Linked DNA regions of Neodiprion lecontei. The protein of the gene in region 1 interacts with the protein of each later gene in a pairwise test. Links are inferred from orthologs where the notes say so. Each region holds a gene or a part of one and is shown on either strand. Other genes may lie near its edges. The genes, in order: translationally-controlled tumor protein homolog and GTP-binding protein Rheb homolog.

Evidence for each region.
Region 2: the proteins of translationally-controlled tumor protein homolog (region 1) and GTP-binding protein Rheb homolog interact in binary tests that used the Drosophila melanogaster proteins (3 or more experiments, as listed by UniProt). The link is inferred for Neodiprion lecontei from reciprocal best matches to the Drosophila melanogaster genes Tctp and Rheb.

The regions. Positions count from the first base shown.
Region 1 is NC_060261.1:34,473,048-34,476,657, reverse strand, and holds translationally-controlled tumor protein homolog, read right to left. Parts: upstream 2,723-3,610; 5' UTR 2,595-2,722; coding exon 2,567-2,594; intron 2,244-2,566; coding exon 2,173-2,243; intron 2,083-2,172; coding exon 1,895-2,082; intron 1,785-1,894; coding exon 1,553-1,784; 3' UTR 1,513-1,552; exon of another isoform or gene 1,236-1,512; 3' UTR 764-1,235; downstream 1-763. UniProt on the Drosophila melanogaster protein: Involved in calcium binding and microtubule stabilization.
Region 2 is NC_060265.1:31,580,567-31,584,504, reverse strand, and holds the start of GTP-binding protein Rheb homolog, read right to left. Parts: upstream 2,705-3,938; 5' UTR 2,012-2,704; coding exon 1,963-2,011; intron 1,795-1,962; coding exon 1,723-1,794; intron 1,555-1,722; coding exon 1,347-1,554; intron 398-1,346; coding exon 268-397; intron 1-267. UniProt on the Drosophila melanogaster protein: Binds GTP and exhibits intrinsic GTPase activity. Activates the protein kinase activity of TORC1, and thereby plays a role in the regulation of apoptosis. Stimulates the phosphorylation of S6K through activation of TORC1 signaling.

The DNA.
Region 1 (3,610 bases):
ATTATAATAGACACATAGATGTGACATTATGTGTGTTATACTATACATAATATATTTATATGATGTATAGTAATATATATATATATACATATATATATATATATATGTATAAACATATACCTAGATATAAACGCTTTTGTAAACGTCAAAATATTTTCAGTAATAGCAAAGAAGCACATGTGTCAGGTTTTAGAATGTCATTTAATCATTATCAGAGTAATCACTGTTTTGTAAAGAGGAAGAGTAATATATTATTGATGAAAGACTAGAGAATGATATGGAGAAGACCAGTTAACACAGAATAATTGTACATATTATTATATAGTAAACTAAATTAATATTTTCATGTGTACTTTATAAAAAATATGATGATGGTGATTTGTAACAATTCTCAGTCGAATTTGTGACGGTAACGCGAAGATATAGTACGACTGTCTATTCCAATTTTGTCTAAATATAATATTTTTACGAAACTTTCAGTTTTATTAAATCAATATCTATGTGTATATCTGAAAAATTAAATACATACCTCATCTACCTCTAATTTTTATTATTTTTTTTTTTACGTCATACCATGACGATGGAAAAGTATTGTCACTTCGAGCAAAATATTGCTGGCTTGTTTCAATCATTACCGCTTATGGTGTAATTTATAATCCATGAAATCAAAACATCTTCTAATTTTAATTTTTGCTAATGGAAAAAAATATATACATAAAAGTTGAAATTGATGTTGAGGTATTTAAAGGAACAAAATACCAGATTATGAAAACGTCAATAGTTTATTTCGTCAGGCATAGGTGTATCGAATTTATTTCAGAAACAAAAATAATTAATATTGATGTAACAGCTGTAAATAATTCACAATGCATTATTGATCGAAGTGTTGTGCTACCGTCTTCTTTCCCCATCTTCCATTCCGTAATAAATACAAGTGTATAAATTAAATCTGTTAAGAGAAGTGGTAATCAAAAAATAAATAGACTAACAATCATGTTTAGTCTTACAAGTTGGAGGTCATGTCTTTAAAGTAAGAGCTGAATGCGACAAGTGATAAATATTTATCTGAGTAATCTGAGTATGTACAGTTTAGAAAGACAATCAAATAGTGTTCAATATTGTTTAGGTTTCTTTTTGATAAATAAAACTGCAATTGATACAAGAAATTGGAAGGGTTATTTGTAACTTAATTTCACAGCGGCGTCGCCATGTGGGCAGTCTTAGCTTCAGCTTATCTGTAACACATAAAAATAGAAGATATGTAGAATTAAACTAAAAAAACTTGAACCAGTTCAGAAACGAGAGTGCAACCACATCGTTGACAAATTCTGTTTGATTTACGTAGACGCTACAATAATTAAAAATATTGTAACGGGAATTCAGTCACCAATTTTATATAACATGTTTGTGCATCGGTTAACAGATAACATATGTTGACCGAGAATTTCCATGTATAAGACCAGCTGTTGTATATAACTGATCAAATTTTTATGAAATATTGTATAAACTTACAAAATTTTTTTCCACAATTTGTTTCATATCTAAGAATTATTTAGAATTTCTCTTCATCTAGGCCGTGCTTAAAGAACATCAGTACCGGCACTGAGTCACCGTCGATATCACGGTATTCCATTAGACCAACAATTCCATCAATATCCATTGATTCGCCAGTGAAAAATTGTAGCTCCTTGAATCTTGAGAGAATATCTTTCATCACTTTGTTCATGTTGGTCTTAAAAATTTCAACCTGATCTGGTGCCTTCTCTTCCAGTTTGGCAACTAGTCTGAAATTAAGAGAAGTGCAAAAATTTAGTCAATTAAATTGACGTGACAAGTAAAGAATGAATAAACATGGTTTAAAGCATTGACTGTAAAAAAATATGTCAACACTTACTTCTTCATGTAATCCTTGAGGTACAGAGTGTAGGATTTTTTGTCATGGAAGGCAAAAGTTTCTTGAAGACGATGATTCAGTACTACATCAACTCCTGATTCAACAGCTTCATCCGTACCTTCGTCAGCTTCTTCAGCTGACGGGTTGAATCCTGCTATTTCGATTGATCCAGCCTTGCGTGTGACGAGCTGAAATGTGGCGTGAATGTTAGATGCGACGTGTAAGGACGTCAATAACATGTCAAAGAATCGACGTAATTGGGAAGGTAATATACTTACTCTACCATACACTTCGTAGAGGACGTCATCGACCAGTTTTATTTTATAGGTATCTGAGAACATCTCATCACCTGGAATGCGTAAAATAAACGATGAAACATATGTATTCATAGGTTACCTTGGAAGAAAGTGAAATCTAGATGTGTAAAATATCTTCTCCATAATCTTAAAACAAACTAATATGAAATAATTGAGTGATTTGTATGATTTTAGCATAAGAACGTATGGTTGAATTACTAGAGCTAACCGAGATTGGTATGTGACAAAGGAGGCTTATCGAAATGTCACTTTGAAATTTAGTTGATAATAAACGTTTCATAATTCCGGTATAGAATTACAAATTTAGAAAATTCGTATTGTAAAAAACAGGATAAGTTTAGCGAAATATAATTACCGGTGAAAATATCTTTGTAGATCCTCATTGTGGAAGATGGAGAAAGATTTGTATACAGCTAAAACTAAATAAGACGCAGTCACTCGATAGAGCGAACCGGAAAGGACGGTGCTAAAATGGATCGACGACAGGGCGGATAATGCGCAAGACAATGCGCAACATCCGGTTTATTCGCATTTGCACACAGCGACGTCTACTGGCATCTCAGAATCCTATGGATGGTGAATTTTAGGCCTGTAGCGTCGATAGCGTTGACTGAAAATGTATAAAGTCTGCTAGCCCACTGGCGCTTTCCGTAACCAAAAACCACGAAATAAATACTAGGAGACCGAACTTCGCAGGCAAAGTTTGGCTCATTTTACCGCATGAAAAAGGCCAAGTCCGCAGAACGAAATAGCTACATGCTCGCGCATGCGCTGTACGCAGTATAGCCGTGTCCTTTGCTATCTCACAGGGAGTACGTTCCACTTTATGCTTGCAAGGCCCTCGAACGCGACCGCTAAAATTCTCGTTCCACTAACATAAAAAGACCGCGAGCGTGTAGGCAATAGTTATAGGTGGAACGCACACGCGTTTGGTGAAAGCCTACTCTGACCCACCTATCTCGTGTGGAAGTGTGGAACGTATCCAGAGAGTGCGAGTGAAAGACTCGCACTTAACGACGTAACAATTTTAAATTTTAGGGAAGTGAGAATATGTTATGAGTTTAAAGTTATAAAGAGTTACGAGACTTGTAGAATCTTTATGATATTGTAATAACTTGACGTCAAGACACTCCTGCGTCTCTTGATCCTCTGTTTCTTGCAAGAATAATAATAATATGCGACCGCATGGATGTTTTATGTTTTCCTTGCGTGATTGACAATCATGCGTCATAACCTCGCTATACGCAGTCGTTGACCGAAGAATATAAAGACAGATGTATGATGTGATGAATTTACCCCTGGGTAAATTTTTGTGACCAGTTTTCGACGGGTAAGTGGGCCCAGGTGGGCCTGGGAGCGTAAGAGGGTTTTGCTCTATCGACTCTACCTAACGGGTTCG
Region 2 (3,938 bases), on another chromosome or scaffold:
GCTGAAACTATAGAGAAGATATTTAGGAGGTTATACGAAAAATTTGCATTATTTTGATTACATCATTTATGAATAATCAACACAAACATGAGCAAAAGCGTCAGTTTATAGGGTCTGTGAGAAACTGTGCAGCATGGCTGGCGGGAAAGACCGACTGTGTCCAAAACTAATCCCTTTTGTTTTCCGAAGTGGCAAAGAAGTGAACCTCCCTGAGCGTCGTTTATGCCCTACATTTATTAGCTAAGAAATTAATGGATATCGAGCTACCTCATTCTGTTTCGCACTTGTCTCTAAAAAGGCGGCATGCCATGTCTCTGCTAAACGCTTCCCCTGCTCCGTTGATATCATTCGGTCCATGTGTAAATCAGTTTTATTACCAACCAAAACGATCGGCACGCTGCAACATGATAATTCATTTGTATTTGGAAAAAAAAAAGTGTGTGTGTCAACTCCGACGCACGACTGGAGTTTATTCCTTAGAAACGATAATTATGATATATATCGAATAGAAAAAGAAGGTAAATGAACGCATCTTCCAAAATGATAAGAGAAACAAACATATATCTGTAATCATTCGGATTATTTACATTACTTCAATAAAAGCTTAGTATATAAAAATACACGTATCAATGCATAGAAGTAAAAAAAAACTTTAAAATCAAAACATTAAAAGTTGATGGTTAGGTTGCTGTTTGTGTACGTTGTATCGATACAATAAATGCTACTATATGTATTTATTCTAAAGCATGCATACCCTGTACTCGGCAGCAGTATACAAGTTGCGGCAGAACTTCGTAATACGCAGGCACATAACACACACGTACAAACATACGCACACATTCAACTCTCAGACCAGAGGTAGTGAACTATACAGTGAGACTACGAAGCATCGCACAAAGAGGAGACCCCGAGTATAGGATACGCTGTATAATGTATTCCATCTCATTCTTTTGCACGTTCAATCCCACAGATATATATGCTTGTCTCTGTCTATGTAACACCTCAAGTTTTCGTGTTAGACTTGATTTTACTCCTCATAAAATTTCCGTACCGGGCCTTATAACTCGAATCGTTTCTCAAGGAGTAAACTCCAAAAATTTTCATTAATCACAAAGGAAGCATTGACGAGTAATAGAGATGTAAGATGAATTTGAGGATATCCATAATATTCATCCATCTACTAAAAACCGATGAAATTGATCGAGGAATGTAAAATATTGCATTACAGAAAAGATAATGATTCAGGTTTTCAGGTGATGAAAGAAGAATATCGATGCGGTATAAATAAATTCTATATAACCATGGTCACGAAATCATCAACAACATTGCGGTATAAAGTTACATACTGCACTTTGCCTGTGATGTCCAATAGCTTGTCGTAGATTATTTGTACAACTTCGAAACTTTTTGCACTAGTTATGCTGTAGACCAATACATATCCATGTATGTCCATAGAATACTGGGTAGGAAATATGCTATATTCATCTTGACCAGCTGTATCCACCAATTTCACTTCATATTCTTGACTATTGACACGAGTGCTCTTGGTAAATGCTAAAATATTTGCATTGTAGATGTAAAAGTTGCGAAGTGATTTCAATGAAATTCTTAGTCTTAGAAAGTAGTAATGAGGTCAATATTATTACTAAGAATAATATCATACTGGTAAAACTTACGATATAAAAGATTAAGCTATGTAATGACTCATTTGAGAATTCTTACTATTTTCAATTGTTGGATCGTACGAATCGACGAATAGCCCTTCGACGAATTGTATGCTGAGGGATGATTTTCCTTAAAAATTGACGAAGTACAGTCAATACCGAGAAGTTAAGTGAGAGTAAACACGCGCGCGATATTCTTGCATGAGTGTGGAGATAAATTAAGTATTTATTTGGTTAACAAGAATGAATATCAAATATATGAGATCATGAATTGAAAATGTAAAAATTTTTGACTCACCTACTGATCTATAGCCCATAATGGCTATTTTTCTCTGTTTTGATGGCATTCTTCATGAATTTATAAACTGACAATGGTCCATAACAGGTTAAACTTTCATGAATAAATTTCGACAACCTAGTACTTGACTTTAATAATTAACAAACGCTACAAGAAGCGAAATTCAATTTGCAAGAATCCCAATATGAACCGAGTGTGGTGAACCGTACAAACTCCGTCTTTAAAGATTAACTAAGATTAACTGAAGAGATTAACGCATTCTACTTAAAGTAAGGACCACACGTTTAACACAAGTGAATATGATTGTGAGATGCGTGTTGAAGATATGTTCAGAATGACTACTGGGATTTCATCATGGCAGTATTCGTGGGCTGTGTTTCGAGAATCTGTCGTACCGTCCGTAGACTGCACGTGAATTGCATTCGTGTCCTTTTTTATCGCAACAAGTAAAAACGGGTGTTTTCGGATGTACACCGAATCGTCACTGAACCCGAATGAGTTTGGATATTGCCCTTGTGTTTACTACCTCGTAATTACGTATTGTAAAGTAATGTTCCTAAATGTCTTGGGCTTCCGCCTAACTTGTTTTCAGTCCGAAACAAAATGCAATCTCAATTCTATGAGAATTATGTGACAAATGACTTGCGATGCAGCCGACGTCAGAGATTAGGAGTCATTGTTACATAATTCGTATAGGATGGAACTTGCACTTCGTTTCGGACCGAAAACAAAGTATCCGGAAAAGGAAGACAATAACGAATATTACTGTGACCCTCACGGTCACGATATCTGTCCCCCTTGGGATAGGCATCCGAAGTTACCCGTCAATTTAGGCTGGATTTTCACGGGCAGCAAAATCCTGCCGAATTATTTTCCTGTCGCGGTTTTTTGTTTTATCCAATAGGAATACGCTGATAAAGCAGGGAGGCGCTACCTGGAGCACCCTGAATGCGAATTACCCATTTTATTGGTATTCCTATTGGCCAATGACTAGGCAGCAAACTACTAAATGCTATTGCGGTATTCTGATGCCCATGATGATCGAGACCAGCCCCCTGACCAGCCCCCTGCAACTAGATCGAGTGAAAAAGTAAAAAGAGTAAGCTAGTATGTCACATGATTTTAGTTCTTATTGAGGGCGCTAGCAGTGCAGTTGTACGGGTTGCACGCCGTAAAGGCCGTAAAGGTAATCGCGCAAACCGCGCAACTGTACTAGCGCTCTCTACCGAGTGTGACAACGGTGACAACATAGACTCGTTTTCTGAAACACGGAGTTGCAGGGAGCTGCCCCTGACACTCACCACTGCTCGTATACCAAAAAATTGTACGCGTTTTGTCCCCGTTTTTTAGTTCCTCTACGTGGCGCTAGTAGACTTCTGACACGCTCGCTGCCCTCGCTGACCACGCACAAGATTGTCAGACAACTACTAGCGCCACTAGTGGTGGAGATTGTCGGCAGAATCGAGGGACATTTTGCGAACCACTTTTAGCAACGTGTGTCAAGGGGCTGATCGAGACATAGGTGGGAAATAGCGTGCTAGGTTGATGGTGCAATTTCGGTTGCCTGTTCCAGGGGTATCAGATCCATGACTGCTGCTGTACATACATACGCACTTCGCTTATCCCGCCGACAGTTCATCCGTCTCCTTTCTACTAGAAATGTTCAAGTACTTGCCGCTGTTTGCTAATTTAAATACGATTGTTTTAATTCATATTATCAGGATACTTATACCTATCAATTTTAATCTGAAGTTCGTTATTTGAACTGATGATTTGCATGCCGTTCTAGTCCTATGAGAACTTCACCACGTATTTACACACACAGTTCGGTGCCCGTGACTAACTGCAATAAATTAAGCACTCATCTGACATGTCATCCTCGAATACACTGTGATCAAAACATTAGCAAAGTTTCGGCAATTTAATTTCGCTTTTGTAATGTTTCTATGACGGTTAGCGCCCTTCTTTAGTAGTGT